4 linked regions of the Macaca mulatta genome follow. The protein of the gene in region 1 interacts with the protein of each later gene in a pairwise test. Links are inferred from orthologs where the notes say so. Each region holds a gene or a part of one and is shown on either strand. Other genes may lie near its edges. The genes, in order: ATOSB, DNAJA3, FHL5 and KIF20A.

Region 1 (4,839 bases):
TAAACCAGTTTAAGTTAACTACTGGCATAAAGTCACAGAGCCTTGAGAATCTTTGTCCACCAGGCTGGAGTGCGATGGTGCGATCTCAGCTCACTGCAGCCTCTGCCTCCTGGATTCAAGCGATTCTCCTGCCTTGGCCCCCCCCCCGCCCCCGCCCCCGCCCCCGCCCCCGCCCCCGCCCCCGCCCCCGCCAGAGTAGCTGGGATTACAGGCGCCTGTAATTTGGCGGGTGCTGTGGCTCACGCCAGTAATCCCAGCACTTTGGGCACCGAGGAGGGTGGATCGCTTGAGATCAGGAGTTTGAGACCAGCCTGGCCAACATGGTGAAACCTGTCTCTACCAAAAATACGAAAATTATTCCAGCCTAGTGGCGCACGACTGTAATCCCAGCTACTCCGAAGGCTGAGGCAGGAAAATTGCTTGAACCCAGTAGGCGGAGGCTGCAGTGACCGAGATCGCACCACTGCACTCCAGTTTGGGCGAAAGAGCGAGACGCGGTCTCAAAACAAATAAAAAAGAATGTGACTTTTGGAGAACTTGATCAAATCAGACCCAAACGGTCTGCTCCTCAGAGAGGCCACAGATTGGCGCTGAGCTGGGCTCTCTCAGTTCTGCAAGTGTCCTGTACTGCCATCTACCGGTGTCTGGAAAGCGTCGCCCTCCCTTATTGTATCTCATGGGGAGAGGCTGGAGAGAAGAGACTCAAGCGCCACTTAAATTGCAGAACATATGTAACTGTACTGCAGTTCATTCGACACCTGTACAAGGGAAAGGCCTCACTTTTCTCCAGCAATTGCAGGCCATCCTAACTCCATATTAACACTCATCTCGTAAAATTCACAGATCTCCTCGCTGACCTGCCTCAATAGGTACAGATCTGACTCCATACCAACACTCATCTCGTAAAATTCACAGATCTCCTCGCTGACGTGCCTCAATAGGTACAGATCTGACTCCTACTGTCCATCCCAGAACCCACACCCGCCTGCACAGCGTAGGCTTCAGAAACTGCTCAACCTCGCAAACCTGAACCCCATCGCCCAGATTCCCTTATTTTCACAGACCCCTGAGATTCCTTGCACTACCTTGCAAACCCTACGGACCTCCCCTATTAGTGCAAATGCACGCGCCAACCCAGACATCCCTACAAAGAGGCTCGAGTTTCGCAGGCAGCTCACACCGGCGCGAAAGCAGCGAGAGAGCCCCAACCCGGCTCAGAGCCCTCAGGCTTGTGGCTTTGGCCCTGGCTCCGGGTTCCCACCCTTCCCTGATCCGCTCCGCTCAGGCTAGCAGCCTGTCGACCGAAGCCCCGCCCCTCTAGACCTGTCATCACAGAAGCCGCACGTGGCCGGGTGGGACCTCAGGCGACCTGCGGCCATCACTTTGTCTCCTCCGTCATCCATTGGGGCTGCCACCGCCAATCAGAGCCAGCGGATCCTGGTTGGATCGCGACCGCCCGGGTGAGGCGTGAGGGAGAAGGGGCGGAAGGAGGAGAGGCTCTGAGATGGGAGGGGGATCGTGGTGGAAGGGGGCCTGGCGCGACTTCTGCCAGGCTGGAATCCGAGGGGGCGGGTCCCGGTGAAAGGCGGAGAGACCAAGAGAAGGCGGGGATCGCGGGTGGGGCCTGGGAAAAGCTGAGGATCCTGGGGAAATGCAAAGAAAACGCGAAAGAGGAGCGGGGACAGAAGGGGGCGGGGCCCGGGCTACAGGGGAGGAGCTCGAGAAATTAAACGAGGAAAGGGACAAGTCCGGAGAAGGTGGAAGGTGGGACAAGGGAGACGGTGGGCCTGGGCGTTGCGGGGGCGGGGCTCGAACCGAAGGGGCGAGGTTTGCAGGCCGAGACTACAGATAGGACTGCTCAGTAACTGCCCCAACCACTACCACCTACCCGAGTGCAACGGGATCCACGGAACTACAGGTGTGGGGCGGGGTGAGCGTGGAAGAAGGGACGCGGATGGGGGTGCGCTTTGCAGACAATCTGGAGACTGCTGTATGTTGAGGGAAGACACGGAGTCGGGGGAGCAGTTGGGGACTCAATGTGTGGGCAACAAGGTGCATTCTCTAGGGGCCTCTATGGAGGAAGGGCAGGAGCGCTTTGTTGTGGGTGGGGGGGTGTTGCGAGGTACACCGTGAGGGGACTGTGTCGCTGTCTGATGTGGGGGGTTGGAGGAGGTACATGAGGGGGAGGGGACTTGGAGGCGCTTTGACGGAAGGGGGACTGTTTAATGGAGAAGGGCTGGTGGTCCAGAGTGTAGCGGTGTCGGAGGGTCTGTGGGCACTATCTAGGGGAAGGGGTTGTAGGCCCCAGTTGAGGCGGGAGAACAGAACCCCCAGTACTTTGAGAAAGTAACAGTTTAGGGCATTGTAGTAACTCCAGGAAGATATTGTGTTCTGGGTTCTAGGAGCAAGGGTGATGGAGTTAGTTGGGTGAAGAGGCCAATCTGTTGCACTCCTGTCTGCTCAGCTTTTAACTTCACCTCCTGGCCTGAGCACTCAGAGAGGAGTCGGACCCTGCTTGTCACCAGGGCTTGTGTGACTGTCTCCTCAGTCTCTTTTGGATCTGTCCAGCTGAGACTGGGGTTTCTTCCCCTAGCTGATGTCCTGGGGGACCCTTCCCCCACTGGGTTCCTGTCAACCCCCCATCCTAGTTCCTGTTCCTCCCAGAGCCAGCCTTGTCTCTGTCTCCCCCTCCCCCTCCCTGCCCTGCCCTTACGCTCTGGGTGTGCTCATTTCCCACTTCCTTCCTTGCCCCAGGGCCTGGCCTGGCCCTTGCCCATCTAGGAGCCATGCCCTGCCTGGGACTTTGTGCTCAATGACCAGAGACCATGGTAACCAGCAGCAGGGCTCAGACCCCACCCCCACCACTACCACCCAGGTCTCTCACATAGACCCCCAAGTGACTGGTAGCCACATTTAACCACTTGACACAAACTGATTTTCCCCACCCTTGTCCTTCCCCTGGGTGGGGAACACTAGGGCTTCTGTGGGAGGGGGGAAGTGGTGAGGAGTATTGAGGATCTTCCATCTGTTTTGAGAGGTGGGCTATGACTGTAAGCTGAACCCAGTAAGGGTTGTGAGGTTCCAGCCTCAGGGAAGGAAAAGGGAGTAGCTCCCCACACTCCAGGCTTGGAAGCACTATCAGAACCGAGACTAGGACCTAGTTCTCTTGAGGGCTCCTCTGCTTCCCTGAGGGGATTTGATGGAGTGCTAGAGTTCCTTTTGCCCCTAGGCTGGCTGGGAGAGGGTGGGAAAGGCTTGAGTTCCACACAGTGGCTGAATGAGTGTGACAGTGTTGCTAAAAGGGGCCCCAAGCCAGCCTCCTCACACAACCACCCAGGAGCTGAGAGACTGGCTGGGGAGGGGGGGATTGTGCTGAGGACAGACAAAGCCCTGGGGTAGGGTGGGGTAAAAAAGGGCAGGCTGAAGCCTTTTGAGGAGGAGCTGATTGCTATGGCAACACTGCTTCCCAGACAGTCTCTCAGAGAGGGCGGGCCTAGGGCAGACTCTCTCTAGCTTCCTCAGGACTGGGGAGGTTTGTGTGAGTGGGTGGGGCATGAAGAGAAAGGGCATCAGTTTGCTGTGCTGAGACTGGAGGATATAGCCTTTCTGCTTTGGTACAAGGCAGCAGGGCGTTCGAATGCCTGGAGCTATCCTCTGATATGGATATGAGTGAACAACAGTCATTAGAATTATAGAGCTGCAGAGGCCCTCAGCAGTCATTGTTTATACAAACCCCTTATTTTACAGTTTTGGAAATTTATGGCTAAAGAGACTGTGATTCCCCAGATGTCACAGTGAAAGGGCTAGATAGGATCCAGATCGCCTGATTGCTGTTCACTCAGCCCAGGGCCTGTTGTTTTCTTCAGTCAATGTTTATTGAACATTGCCAGGGACTCATGTTGGCTCTGTGAATATGAGCACAAATGAAACAAAGTTGCTGCTCTCATGGAGCTTCCATTCTAATAAGGGGAGAAAGAAATTATATAGGGGGAGGGAGAAGTCAGGTAGTGATAACTGCTATTAAAAAAAAAAAAAAAGCATGGTAAATTTAGGGCAGGAAGGTAAGGCCTCTTTTTTTTTTTTTTTTTTTGAGAGACAGTCTCAGTCTGTCGCCCAGGCTGGAGTACAGTGGCATGATCTCAGCTCACTGCAACCTCCGCCTCCTGGGTTCAAGCGATTCTCCTGCCTCAGCCTCCTGAGTAGCTGGGATTACAGTTGCGCGCCACCACACCCAGCTAATTTTTGTATTTTTAGTAGACATGGGGTTTCACCATGTTAGTCAGGCTGGTCTCGAACTCCTGACTTTGTGATCTACCCACCTTGGCCTCCCAAAGTGCTGGGATTACAGGCATGAGCCACCGTGTCCAGTAGTAAGGCCTCTTGGTTGTACCCTGCTGCTTTCCCAGGGTATATTGAGGCCTGGAACATCTTTGATCCTTCACCCTGAACTATTGTCCTCTGACCTTTGTAGGTAACTAAGGCCTGGCCTATGGTAGTGGCAGAAAGATAGGATAAGGTGGGGTTGCTAAGGGATATTTTTTTTCCTACAGTGTTCTATGTCTCTGTTTTCCTAGTAAGCTTTTATTAAGGCAAGTAGGCTCTTACATTGATACACTGTAATTTTGACAAGGGCATTGAAAATTTCCTTAATCCTGTTCCTTACACTAGGGAACCAGCAAGGAAGTCAGTCCTCTTGAAAAAGGTGGTCTAGGGTGAGGTAAAGAGAAGGGAGCTTAGAGGGACTGTTACTTGCTTGTGTCTCCTAAGTCTAGGAATGAGGGACTAGGGGGAAGAGGAAGGCGCCTCTTTTTACCATCTAGTGATAGAATCTCAGGACCC
Region 2 (3,746 bases), on another chromosome or scaffold:
GAAGTATCTGAGATGAGCAGAATGTCACTGCTGAGCCTCTGCTATCCGTCAGCTATTTCTCCACCTGACCCAGCGAATGGACTCACATCTCACCCTGCTCAGCCCGGAGCACCAGGGTGGACTGAACTGTGTATCAGGGCCCCTTCAGCCATGTCAGGCATAGAGCTCGGCTGGGAACCCAGAGTAGCCAAACTATAATATATAAAAATTTTGGCCAGGCATGGTGGCTCACAGCTGTAATCTCAGCACTTTGGGAGGCCAAGGCAGGTGGATCACCTGAGGTCAGGAGTTCAAGACCAGCCTGGCCAACACTGTGAAATCCCCATCTGTACTAAAAATACAAAAATTAGCCAGGCGTGGTGGCGTGCACCTGTAGTCCCAGCTACTCAGAAGACTGAGACAGGAGAGTCACTTGAACCCAGGAAGCAGAGGTTGCACCGAGCAGAGATGATACCACTTCACTCCGGTATGGGCGACAGAGTGAGACTCTTATGTCAAAAAAATAAAATAAAATTGAAGGTAAAAGATGCAAAGACTCTGAAAAGAATGTAGAGAAACAATCCAGTGAGGGTGACTGAAATGCAGGGACCCAGGGACACTGCCCAGCTCTCACAGCATGGGCTCCCAAGGAAAAAGTCACATCCAGATTCTAGAACATTCACTCACATGGGACTGTTGTGTCATGGCCAGCACCCTGCTCTGGAATCTGACTGAGGGTCAGCACTGTCGGCACCCCAGACCTGTCTGCCTCTATGTACTCTGGGTGGGCATGAGCACAGGATGAGGCCAGCCAAGTCTCCAGTAACTCCCATAAGCTACCTGCAGAGGCTGTCTGAATTCTTTCAAAGAAGAAATGACCACAATTTAGGTTTTAAATATCTTTTTGCAATAGATAATCTTATTTACATTAATACAGAATCATTTTACATTCCTAAATCAGACACTAATAGATGCTTTATTTTAGTGAATTATAAAGGAAAACAAAAAGGAAACTATTGAGAAATGTTTCTTCATTAACCTGTCTGACAACAGCCCAAGGATCCTGAAACACATGGAAACTGCGACATGCTACCAGCAGAGGCTGGGGAACGGGGGTTCTGCTCTGGCTGAATAGTGGGGAGCCTTTAACTGCTTAGCCTGTGCTTTCCTTTTCTGAATCAACATTTACACAGGAAAAAACAATGATTAGCACTGAATAATTTAAATACACTTCAGAAAATAGATGTCAACAGTGTAAGTGGGAGAACCAAGCCCCTGGCTAGCAACAGTGGCAGGGCTTCAGTTCCCAAGGCAGCTGAAATCTGGCCAGCACAGTGCTGCAGAGGGCTGTGGCTCAACAGACGGGCCGGAGCCCTCCATGCCTGGCTTACAACAACAGGACTCAATGGTCAGCGACAGGCGGCCATCCTGGATGGGGTGGGAGCAAGGACTGTCTATCCTGACAGGGATCACCACCACCCACACGGTCAGGAGCAGAACCCCCATGGACTCTCTGGGCCTCTATGTGCCTCCCAGGCCCTGAGTGTGCAGCTGCTTGGTACCCCGGGAATAAAGACTAACTGAGCAGAGCAGCTGACACCTCAGCAGGGCCCCTCATCAGGGGAGGACGGAGCTGGTGGGGCCTGGGGGGCCCCAGGCTCCCATGAAGACAACCTGTGAGAAAGAACTCATTCTGGAACCTCCCGGAGGTTTGCTGAGAAGGAAATAAATCACTTTGTAACTTGGTGCCACTTAAGCCTTCATTTCTAAGCTGTAAGCGTGGCCTTTAATTAAGATCTCCACAACATTCAATTCCAAATTAGAGTTTTAGCCCTACAAGAGTCTAACCATCTCCCTCTGCCTGAGCCAGGGGCCGTCACCTACCCATGGACAGGAAACTGCCACCAGCCTTCGGGGCTGCATCCTACTGTCCAGGCTGTCCACTGTGACCTTTCTGTGGAGAGAGGTGTTGTCCCGTGATTTTGCTGTTGTCAGGGCCGTCCAGAGGCTCTGCGGGGGGGAGCTCAGTGCTGCTGTTCTGGAATCCTCCCGTCTCCCAGGTGCCCTGGCCCTGGGAGGGGCTGCTGCTTCCTGGCCTAGTTTCCAGTGGATCTTTTTCCTGAGCCAAAGAGACAGGCAGTTACCTTATACTCAACATCTCAAGGGAACACACCCCGCTGGGGAGCATCTGTTAATCCCTGGAAAGCAGCTGTGCGAAGAGAGGGGCGAGAACCCCAGCCGCTGAGATGAGCGTAGTCAACAAAAGTGAGTCCCAAGATGACACGGCGAGCAAGCGCCATCCTGGAGCAGCCCCCAGGCTTGCACAGCCCTGCACTGTCTATGCAGGCGGGCAGCTTCCAAGCAGGCAGGACGTGAGGAGATCTGAGTTCTAGGCCTGGCTCTGCCTGACTCGCCCTTTGTGACCATGGGCAAGCTGAACCACCACTGTAGGGGGCTGTACAACAGCCCCCCCATTGCCACCTCCCCAGGAAGAGGACACAGCCAGAGGCTGGCCGCGGCAGCCCAGCCAGTCCTACACTACAGGTTGACTGCCACGTCATCTCTTCCCTAGGCTGAGAGGCCGGCTCCTAGTGGAGCGAGGTTTACCACACCTTGGACTGGCACCTGTTCCCACTCCTGGGGGTGGGGGCACAATATTAGTTAAAGTGGGAGAAAACCAGGATTAGTTCACAGAGGAAAACAAAGGGAAAGAAACCTCCAGGGTTTTCCTACCTCAGCTGGGATATCAGGAGGTAAACATTTTCTTAAGTTTGGAAAGGAATCCCTCCTCGTCCTCCCCAGCCTCACGCCTAGCCTTGCTTCCTGCGGAGCTATCCATGGAGCTGCCACCTGGGCACAAACAGCAGAAAGAACTGGCGTCAGGGGCCCGCACCTCCAAGGTCATATCCTCGGCCCCACCTACCCCCGCCTGGCCACCCAGGGGCCCACATTCAAGGAGCGGCCAAGCGCCACCTCAAGAAGAGTGGGGGCCACTCCTAAGATGGCACAGGATGCCTCACCTGGCAAATGACTGAGGTAACAGAGCACTCAGAGCCTGAAGGTCTCCCAACTGCTCTTTCAATCATGGACCCACAGCAGGGAAACAAGAAATAGAGACGGAGACGGACCATGACAGCTGTCTCTATCTGAGCAACAGTGACAAAAACACAGTCAAGTGCCAGGCACCTCCCAGGCCAGGCCACACACTTCCTTACAGGCAAATGAAAAAAACAAAAAAGGGAGGCACAGAGAGGTTGCAGGGTTTACCCAAGGCCCACAGAGCCAACAAGCGAGAGGGAGGACTGAGTGCGAGCCCACGCAGTCTGACTCCAAAGCCGAGACTCTCAACCACCACGCTGTTGGCTATAAGAAGGTGAATAATGACACCAAGAAAAACCCTACTTCTAGACCAAATGACCAGATTCCATGCTGCTGCTGTGTACAAAGACCCTGCAGAACAGCCCATGTCGGAGTCACGGCCACACACAATCCTCTGTCATAGGCACTTCATCTCATCCCTCACATCAGCAGTCTATGTTGTCCCCATTTGGGGTGCAACAAGTTGAGCAAGTTGTCCCCCATTTGGGGCACCTAACCTAAGTGCTCTCAACCTGGGGGAGGTGTGCTGCTATTTCTTTAGGGCCCAGGCTGACACCACCTAGAGGTACTTTCTCGCACAAACGTGTTACAGATTTGCCAACCATAAGACAAGGAGTGTACACTTTTGTTATGAGTGAGAATATAAACCTGAACTTGGCATATTAATT
Region 3 (4,925 bases), on another chromosome or scaffold:
GAGATAGCCAAAGGTAGGCTAAGAAATACAAAATACAGCTAGATAGGAGGAATAAGTTCGAGTGTTCTATAGCACTATAGGGTAACTATAATTAGCAATTTATTGTATATTTTCAAATAGCTATAAGAGTAGATTTTAAATATTTCCAACTCAAAGAAATGAAAAATAAAGTTATAAATTTGCTAATTACCCTGATGCGATAATTTGTTGTATACATGTATACAAACATCACATTGTACCCCATAGATATGTACAGTTATATGTCTATAGTAATAATAAAAGCAAAAAAGAAAAAAGAAGAAAATTCTTAGAAGTCATGTGACTTATGACATGTTACTTAAATTGTTTTATGAACAATTGTAAGAAATAATTAAACAGAATCAAACTGGAAAACAAGCCCCAGAAGCATATTTCTCCACTCCACTTCCACACCACCATCTTTAGAGGATTACAATTGCAATGAAATTGTAAAAATACAAAAAGGTATATTTTTAAATGTGAGGAGACAACCTGAATTTATCAAAATAATCTACTCAGGATCCATTTGGTAAATACTCCTTTGACAAAATGAATATGCAAAGGAATAGCTCAAAGCTTTGCTAAAAATCAAGTGAGATAAATTTAAGGTCCATTGGTGCTGGAAATGCAACCGAAGAATTTGAGAAGAAAAAAAATAAAAATGACTACTGTTATTATTATTCTAATATAAAATTCTGTAATACAGCTGTTTTAATTATATCTTTAAGGTAGGGAGGCAAACTCACCTGCTCTCATTCATAGAAAACTCAGTATGAATGACACTTCAAAACCTTGACTGTCTTCTCCACATCACACTATTGCTTTCAAACAGACTCTCTATCTTTATTTATTTAATGAATGTAAACCTTGCTGTTGACATACCCTAGTATGTTCTAATCAGGGTAATTAGCCCGTGTGAAAGTTTAGACATATAGTAAAGATAAGGTAAATCCAAACCCATAAGAATGCTTTACTAGTTCATATAAAATACTAGGGTATATCATCAATAAGCTTATTATTTATTTTTATTTTAAATAGAGTCTCCCTATGTTGCCCCAACTGGTCTTGAACCCCTGGGCTCTAGTGATCCCCACGACTTTGGCCTCCCAAAGCTAGGATTACAGAAGTGAGCCACCATGCCTGGCCTCAAGCTGATTATTTTGCAGGGATTTGAGGCATGTTGGGCAAAAAGGAGTCCTCCTTCTCCTCCTCTTCCTCTACCTCTTTCTTCTCTTCCTCTTCTTCAGTGAGCTTTCAAGGGTACCAAAAAGCAACCAAGAAAAATGATGGTAATTGGAGAGGAAAAAGATAATTACGAGAACAGGGAAATGCAAGCTGGTTTAACTAATATCTGATTCAGAGCTTCCCATGCGGACCCAAGTATTCAGCTTTCATTTCTAAAGAGATCATATCCCCTCAATTGAAAACATAAAAATAAAAACAAATTAAAGCGTCTCTAAATATTCTAAACTCTTATTTGTAATATTTTAGTAGAAAAGTACCCAGTCTTGTGTAATAAATACAAATTAATTCAGCTTTACTCAAAATGTTGGCAAGTGTAATGAAAATAAGAGGTAAATTTGTCAGTGAGGTGGTGTTATATTAAAACACAAATCTGCTACTCTTGCTTAGGTAGAACAGTCCCAGATTTGGCAACTAATGATAATGTGAGAATAAATAGAACAAGTGTAGAAAACAGACACCACAGTTTACCTTCCCCTTAAAGCAATTTGGATTATGGCTTTAAGCATATATCATAACACATATGTTAAGAAATATCTTGTATGATACATATGTTTGCAATACTTATGTTAAATTTTAATCCATATGCTTTGCTAATAAAAATGCTAGTATTTACACATGATGGTATTGTGGATACGAAATGAGGGCTAAAAGAGCTCAAGGATTTCCTTACATTTTATGTATAAGAGCTATGCATTTTGTTAATAATTCTTTTTAATTTCCAATTTTCTGAAGTCTGAAATGACAGCCGAGGAGCTACATTTGGTTTTCAAATGAATGATAGGTACCAAAGAGGATAGGACTAAAATAGTGAGAGAGAAAGCATTAACACATATGGCGTGTATGCTTTTTGCCTGAATAACACTACCTCTGTTTCAAGAAGTAGCACTTTAAATTGATAGAGTCTATTATATATTTCTGTGGGCTGGAAACACAGATATTTTAATTTAACCTTAGGAAACCTAAGATTATGAATTTTTGTATGCCCACTTCTGGAAAGTAGGCAGATTTTTCTTGAAAATAGCAGGAATCTCATTAACTCCTTTTACTTAAAACCTGTAAGTGACTTCAAAATGTGCTCTTGAAATATAAATCTAGTCATAAAATATGCTAAGTGATAATATTATTCATTCAAATAAACGAAGGCAAATAAAATCTCAAGAGCCCTCCTCTTCTTCCTCTTTTTACAACAATAAAGCTGTACCCTGCATTAAAACCATTAGAGAAACTCAAGAGACAATTCCAAGGAGTTATCTGGCACTATGTAACCTCCACACGCAAGTTATGAGAATGATAAATCTGAAAAGCTCAGCATATAAAATTTGATAATCTTTAGCTAAAATGGCCAAGAAACTTCAAAAGGCATACACTTTTGCCAAGCAAAATTTTTCTCTTAAGGAGTTACTGGAAAGTTTATAAAAATTTCTCATCCTTAAAAAAAAAAATTAGAGAAGTCGAAATACCACAAAACAAAACAAAGGAAACATTTGGGGGAAAGAACTCACTTTGTCTTAAAGCCGCTTCTTCCTGTAATTTAAACAATACAAAAGGAGAATATATGTTGATTATTTTTCCTCCAATCCATATGCGTGTTAACTCCCAAAGGAACAGAAAGTCACCAGCACCATCTGAAGATCCTTTCCAACTGCATGTAGCTTTTTCAACTTTGCGGGAGAAAACAGAAGGGTCCCTGCATTTCCTCCAAGTCTTACACCATGTGCATTACTCCTACTGGGCTGAAAAAGCACTACTTGTCAATTTTTACTTGAAACTATGAGTAACAAATTCTCTGCAGGACATCCTTAAAGGGAAATTCTGCCAGGATTAGCATTCGAAGTATCTGGCTAAGCTCCAAAAAGTTTAAAATACACAACGTTCACACAGACACATACACACTTGAGAAATTTCCACTAACTAGGCTAAATTAAGGGCATATTTATAAAAATAATGCTCTAAAAGCATGATGTATTTTCTGTTTCCTCAATCTGTTTTTGGCTTTGTTTTCTTTGTTTTCTGGTGGTGATCAGAACCTTTCTTTTAGGTTGGAAATGTCTGAACTGCTGAGCTTTTCTTTTGGACTGTCTGGAAAGAGATGAGGCCCCATGCTCTTACCTGCAAAGCTATTGGTACCTTGAGAGATGACCCCCTGGGTTGTGGCCTCTATCACTGCCTTCTTGGGAAATTGGGGAAATCTGAGACATAAGTTTGAGTAGAGTACTCAAGGTAGTTCCCTGCTCTCTGGACTTGCAGTGTAGGCCCAGCCTTTCCTGCTCTGCCTGCTTCCTGGTGAGCTGGCCACAATTGTGACATCACATCCATGGCTGTATGACTTCATAAAGCATAAACTCATTGGGTTTTTTGAAATCTTCGAAACACAAAAAGTAGACAGCGATGTCAAGAGTTGGATCTGAAGAAAGTTTTGGATATTAAACCAATCCACAATAAGTATTCTCAGAGGGGCACACTGATTCATAAAGCAAGTGACATTTTCTCTTAGAATCTCCATTTGAGGCCATTTCTTCAGTTTGGAAGGCAGGATGAGAGAAGAAATTCTGCCTTAATTCCAGACCAAACTTAAACTGTCCTTGTTCTAAGTGCTAAAGGAGTGAAATGTTAATATCTTCTAAGGTCAAACTCGGGTATATACAGTCAAAGAACTTGAGCTAGGGAAACGCAGAGCCAGTTAACTGTGTGTTTTGTTATTCACTTGACTTTACTGATTAAGACATTATGAAAATGAACATATGGTGATTAACAACAATAAATTTGGATTCAGCAAAAGGATATAAGTATATTTCATTAGTAATAGATTTTAATCCTTAGGACACCATTGCTAAGCAGGTACTAGCTGTATTTTCCTTGTTTTATGGGCAAGGAAAGCAGTCTTTGAGATGTAAACGTGCCTGGGACCATCACCCTCTTCATTTGTTCCCCTGCTTCCTGAGAGGGTAATCTACATTCACCAAGTCATTCCAAATCTACAACATTCTGAGTTTCCTTCTCCCTCCCAACTTATTACAATCTGTCTTTCACTTGAACCACTCCAAAAAAGCTTCATTAAGATCATATACAACCTTGATTAGCAACCCAAAGAGCATGGTCTTTAGTCTTACCGAAAAATTCTCATCTCTGGCCATGTCTATTTCTTTTTGAAATTATCTTTCCTTGGTTTTGCTATGTTACACTCTTCTGATTTTCTGTTTGCTCTTAGCATCTTTAGCCTTCTCTCTATTCACCTCAGTCTTCCCTAGAGCTTTATCCTCTGTTCATTATGCTTCTCTGAAGGTTCTCCATCATGTTCTTCATCGAAACAGTGAACAATTATACAACATGATTCCCAAATGTGTACTTTCATCTGATATCACTCTTCAAGGTTCCAGACCTGTATCCCACTATCTATTAGACAACCGTGTCTAGAAGTCCCCAGACATCTCAAACTCAACAGTCCCGAATAATCCTCTTTGTCTTCTCCCCATTCCAAACTTGTTAGTTTGCTGTATATCCTACTTCAGGGAATGGCACAATCATCCACTCCTTATGTTAGAGTATTCCCTTTCCTCATCTATTCTCCACCATCCCCATCATTGTCCACCTTCTGTAGGTTCTAGTTTGTTAAATGATCTTTCTCAAATTTATCCTCATCCCTGCATTCCATGTCTCACGTT
Region 4 (4,862 bases), on another chromosome or scaffold:
AGTCTTACTACTTACCTTGAATTGTGTGGGTTTTCCCTGAGTTAGTGACTCCATATGTATAGATAAGCCAGTTCTGCCCTTTGAGTACATCCTTTACCATCTCCTTCACAGTTAGGTTGAAGAAGGATGCTTGTCCCACTTCTGGCCCAAAGATCTAGAGAGAGACCCAGTTTTTTAGAGGCCTATCCTTCATCTCCCACTTGCCTCCTGTGCAGAGCCAGCAGATATATTCCTTCTTGAGTGGTTGGCTCTGGAGACCACTCAAGCAGCTTCTTCCTGCCAGCTGTTCCCTAAACACTGAGGACTCAAGCACTCTCTGCTAGTCCATCTTTCAACCAAATCAACAAACACTTAAGGAATGCTATGCCCTAGGCCTGATGCTGCACACACAATGGGGTAATATAATGGCCCACAAGCGTGGGCTTTGGAGATACATGGATCTAGACTCAGGTCCTAACTCTACCAGTGACTAGCTACATGGCTTCAGCAATATTACTTTCATTGAGCCACACTATCCTTGTGAGGAAAATAAGGAAATAATGATAATAGCAATAGAATTTTTCAGAATTGATATACATATGTTGCTTGACACATTGACTAACACATAACTAGGGCCCTCAAAATTGTAGGTGTGCGTATACAAGGAACTCACAGTCAGGTAGAGAAGCTTTCCCTCTAAAGAGGGAATAAAGTTGCCCTTACATGTTGGTCCTTTGTTCACAAACCAGTACCCTTCATACCTGGGAAAAGGTGAACCTGTGGGTGGCTTGGCCAATTCCCCGCTCATTGCTCTTCAGGGCAAAAGAGTCCTTGGGTGCTTGTAGAACAAGGGTCTCCACATTGTCAATATGGACACAACCCTGAGAAGGGAGAAAATACAGTTGTCACAAAAGGCATTCCTGGGAATCTTTTGTACTGCATCATTTCACCTTAAATCCTCCCTTCTCAGACACTTACCTGATCTTCCTGTCGCTCCAACTCTGAAGGTAACAAGGGCCTAACCCTCAAGTATACTTTCACCTTCTCCGTACCGTCCTCAGATGGAACCTGTGGCAGAATTCCAGCCCAGAACCACAGATTAATTTCAGCAGCAAATGGGCAAACAGTAGTTTCTAGGAACCATGATAACAGTACCCCATTTCACCTCAAATGTCTCTGTGCAGCTACTCTTTGGTTCCACAATCATTCCAACCCACATGGACATTTTTACTACTTTGTCACCCTTCCCTGTCTCATCATTATCCTGCAAACCTGGCTTGCCACACCAATGATCTGAGTTAGAATTTATTGACTGGTATGAAAATTTGTATGTGATATTAAAGCAAAGCAGAGGCAAACACACTTGAATTTGAGTCCCAATTCCATCACTTAGTAACTATGAGACCTTGAACTATGAGTTCTTAAAAGTCTTTGCCTCAATTTCCTCATCTGTAGAATGGAGTTAATAATAGCACCCATGTCATTAATTCAGCAGATACTTAGAGGCCGGGCGCAGTGGCTCACGCCTGTAATCCCAGCACTTTGGGAGGCTGAGGGGGGGAGATCACCTGAGGTCAGGCATTCCAGACCAGCCTGGCCAACACAGCAAAATCCCGTCTCTACTAAAAATACAAAAATTAGCTGGGCTTGGTGGGGGGTGCCTGTAATCCCAGCTACTGAGGAGGCTGAGGGAGGGAGAACTACTTGAACCGGGGAGGCGGAGGTTGCAGTGAGCAGAGATTGTGCCACTGCACTCCAGCCTGGGCGACAGAGCGACACTCCATCTCAAAAACAAACAAACAAGCAAACAAACAAAAAACCCCAAAAAAACAAAAAAACCCGCAGATATTTAGAGTGCCTACTATGCCCTAGGAACTGAGAAGCTCTGATAGTCCATAGTGAGAGACATTATCAAGGACCATGCTGTCATGGAACTTTTTAAGTCTCTAAGAGAAACTCTATAAAAGCACAAAATGTGACAATGTATGTTAATGTTTAGCATAGGACCTAGTACAGTGTTTCTCAACCAGGGTCATTTCCACTCCAAAGGCCATTTAAGCAATGCCTGAAGTGCCTGAAGACATTTTTTGATTGTCACAAATGGGAAGGCACTACTGACATCTAGTGGGTAGATGTCAGGAATGCTGTTAAACATCTTACAATATACAGGACAGATCCCTACAAGAACTGTCTAGCCCCAAATGTCAACAATGCTGTGATGGAGAAACCCTGGCCTAGCAGGAAAGCTACAACAAATTGAAGCTATGGTGATACTATCAAAACCTGAACATACATTCCACTTACATAATGCCTATATGACCTTGTGCAAATTATTTAGCACAACTGGGCCTCAAGGCAAAGAGAGATAACTATTATTTCCTGATTAACTGAGAGCATGCACTTGAGGGTATTTCATTAATGCAATGCAAATAATAGTTCTTCTGGACACACAACTCTTAATTTTTTTTTTACTTGTCATGCCCTTAATTTTTTTTTCTTTTCGTAGCCATTTTGTCCTACATGCCCCTAATTTTGAATTGATCTCTCAAACCTTCAGGATTGCTAGTCTTTGACCTCATACTACCGTGTATGGACAACTATTGACCTGAGGATGTCACTTTCTGCCCCAGCCACTCCCCAGTTCCTTTACCTGCTGCTTGTCCTCTAGGGAGGTAGAGATGACAGAGCAGTCTGACAGCAGGTTCTTGCGTACCACAGACCCCAAATCTGCAGCTGTGGACTCAAACATGGGAGAGACTACGACATCGTCATCGGACAGCAAGCCCGCTGGCGGAGAAAGGATCCCTTGCGACATGACGGCAGGGGCAGCCTAGGTCTAAAAAGAGACCAAAAAGTGGGCAGGGAGAAGAACCTTTAGGGACAGAAGGGGCCGCGAATTTTAGGTAATAAGTCCCTTGCCCCAGGACACCGGGTCCCGCTCCCTACTTCCTTTCCCCTCTAATTATCGGCAAAGGGGAAGGGAATGAGAGAAGTTCACTTAATGAACAATCGAGAGAAGTTTGAGGTTGCATTTCTGAAAGCGAACAGAAGTCCACAGAAATCTGGCTCCAAAAGCAAAAGGCCAGGCCTAAAGTAGGGCACCTCGCCCGCCGGTGCTGTGGAGGTGGTGTCAGGATCCCTCGGCTCCTTTTCTAACCTCAAGGACCACCGTGAGAACAGAGATGCAGCATTAAGAGAAAAACAGATGGCTGCAGTTCCGATTTCTTAAAGCCTATTCCGCGTGGGCAAGAGCTGGTAACCCGGGCTCCAGCACAGCCGCACACTCACCCGAAGACGTGCCACTTGCTCCTCCTCGGGTACCGGCTCACTCACACCTAGTCGCCGAACCTGGACTTTCGCAGCCGGAGAGCACAACTCCGCCCACGAGGTGCAGCTTTGTTACCGATACAATATTTTAAATTACGCGCTGCGTTCGTTCGGCCAATGAGATAGGGAAGTCTGCAGCTACCAATCCGCGTAAGGAAAAGGGGCGGGTCCGACTGGAATTCCAGTAGTTTGCATCCGCTTGACCTCTCAGATCTAATGTGGGTCCGGGTTACCAACTGTCGCGGGTTAGGAGTTATTTCGCTTGGGATTCTTCCAGCTTAACCCTTTTTCTTGAACCTTAGACATTTCTTACCTAAGAACCCTAAAGGAAATCTTGAGGCTTCAGCCGCCAACCCCTGTCCTTCCTTAGCAAAAATCTTAAAAGGATTGCACAAGATAACTGGTTTAGGGTGCTTGCTTTGTCTTAGGGGAAAAAACGACATTTCCCAGGAGGCACCGCGAACCAACGCCGGTACTCTACTTCCCAGAATTCCAGGGTTTCGGCCCTACCAGACCGTCTCTCCTCAGGGTTGGAGACTTCGGGGCCAAGATGGCGACGGGAACGGGCAGTGAGTATCTGAGCAGGTTTTGCGTGAAAGGCGTTTGTAGATCCGAGGCTAGGCACCATATTTTTGTTACACGCTTAGGGAGTGGGAGAAGTGGTTTGCTTGAGAGCTCAGGGTTTTCAGAGACCTGCGCTCCACAGCATCGTGAAGACCAACGTTTGGGGGCCCAGAAATCTGGGGTCTTGTTTCTCAGGGAGGGAGCGGAGGTGTGAGAGAAGGAGCTTAGTGAATCCTAGTGTGTTAGGAGCCCTTCGGGGTAACCGTAAAAGCACTCTAGAAACTTGGGCGTGCAGACGAAAAGATGTTATGAGCCAGACGGAGTAACCGGCACCTCAAAGAGCCATTCATTTTTTGTTCGACGTTTGTGAGGCAGTGGAAGTGGGGCCTTTTAACCATGAGCTTTTCTTGCCACTCAGGAAATTGCATCTCGGGGATTTCAGCCATTTTTCTTTTAGTGGACTGAAAAGGTCTTTTAGGCCCGACATTTGGAGTAGAGGATCTGAGAGAAGTAAACAAGTTTATGCTAAGAGGGAGGCGGGGTTGTAGGAGGGGCTGGCCGCTCGGGTTCCTGGGAAATAAGCCCTGAATGAGTTCAAACTGGAATAAAGTCCAGTGTTCTTAAAACTGGGCTTTTAGGGAGAACTGCCTAATCTGACATTCCCAATTTTTTAATAAAGCGGAGCTTCAAGCCGTGGCGTTTTAAGAAATAAAATGTTAATAATTCACATGCAACAAATTGGTACCACGGTCACTGGTGATACTTCACTTGGAGAGGTGAAAATCAAGATTTGGTGATAGTAGCTCACTTTGTCCTAACAAGTTGGAATATTTTGTATTAGGCTTTTAGTCCCCTTTTTGGGGATTTTGGAGCTTAGCACTACAGTCTCAGTGGTTGCTTCCAAGGCTTTTTTTTTTTTCGTTTCCCAGAACACAAGCTGCTGAGTACTGGCCCCACAGAGCCATGGTCCATCCGAGAGAAGCTGTGTTTAG

Evidence for each region.
Region 2: the proteins of ATOSB (region 1) and DNAJA3 interact in binary tests that used the Homo sapiens proteins (3 or more experiments, as listed by UniProt). The link is inferred for Macaca mulatta from reciprocal best matches to the Homo sapiens genes ATOSB and DNAJA3.
Region 3: the proteins of ATOSB (region 1) and FHL5 interact in binary tests that used the Homo sapiens proteins (3 or more experiments, as listed by UniProt). The two-hybrid records come from large-scale screens. The link is inferred for Macaca mulatta from reciprocal best matches to the Homo sapiens genes ATOSB and FHL5.
Region 4: the proteins of ATOSB (region 1) and KIF20A interact in binary tests that used the Homo sapiens proteins (3 or more experiments, as listed by UniProt). The two-hybrid records come from large-scale screens. The link is inferred for Macaca mulatta from reciprocal best matches to the Homo sapiens genes ATOSB and KIF20A.

What each region holds. Positions count from the first base shown.
Region 1 is NC_133420.1:64,608,909-64,613,747, forward strand, and holds the start of ATOSB (atos homolog protein B), read left to right. Parts: upstream 1-1,358; 5' UTR 1,359-1,460; exon of another isoform or gene 1,461-2,052; intron 2,053-4,839. UniProt on the Homo sapiens protein: Transcription regulator that may syncronize transcriptional and translational programs.
Region 2 is NC_133425.1:5,706,294-5,710,039, reverse strand, and holds the end of DNAJA3 (dnaJ homolog subfamily A member 3, mitochondrial), read right to left. Parts: exon of another isoform or gene 2,830-3,746; coding exon 2,726-2,829; 3' UTR 2,713-2,725; exon of another isoform or gene 2,712-2,712; intron 2,099-2,711; coding exon of another isoform or gene 2,076-2,098; 3' UTR 864-2,075; downstream 1-863. UniProt on the Homo sapiens protein: Modulates apoptotic signal transduction or effector structures within the mitochondrial matrix. Affect cytochrome C release from the mitochondria and caspase 3 activation, but not caspase 8 activation.
Region 3 is NC_133409.1:89,327,010-89,331,934, forward strand, and holds the start of FHL5 (four and a half LIM domains protein 5), read right to left. Parts: upstream 2,994-4,925; 5' UTR 2,766-2,993; intron 1-2,765. UniProt on the Homo sapiens protein: May be involved in the regulation of spermatogenesis. Stimulates CREM transcriptional activity in a phosphorylation-independent manner.
Region 4 is NC_133411.1:147,034,754-147,039,615, reverse strand, and holds the start of KIF20A (kinesin-like protein KIF20A), read right to left. Parts: upstream 3,440-4,862; 5' UTR 3,268-3,439; intron 2,816-3,267; 5' UTR 2,795-2,815; coding exon 2,630-2,794; intron 1,048-2,629; coding exon 958-1,047; intron 861-957; coding exon 741-860; intron 155-740; coding exon 16-154; intron 1-15. Other genes in the region: BRD8 (bromodomain-containing protein 8), read left to right, coding at 3,857-3,875, 4,800-4,862. UniProt on the Homo sapiens protein: Mitotic kinesin required for chromosome passenger complex (CPC)-mediated cytokinesis. Following phosphorylation by PLK1, involved in recruitment of PLK1 to the central spindle. Interacts with guanosine triphosphate (GTP)-bound forms of RAB6A and RAB6B.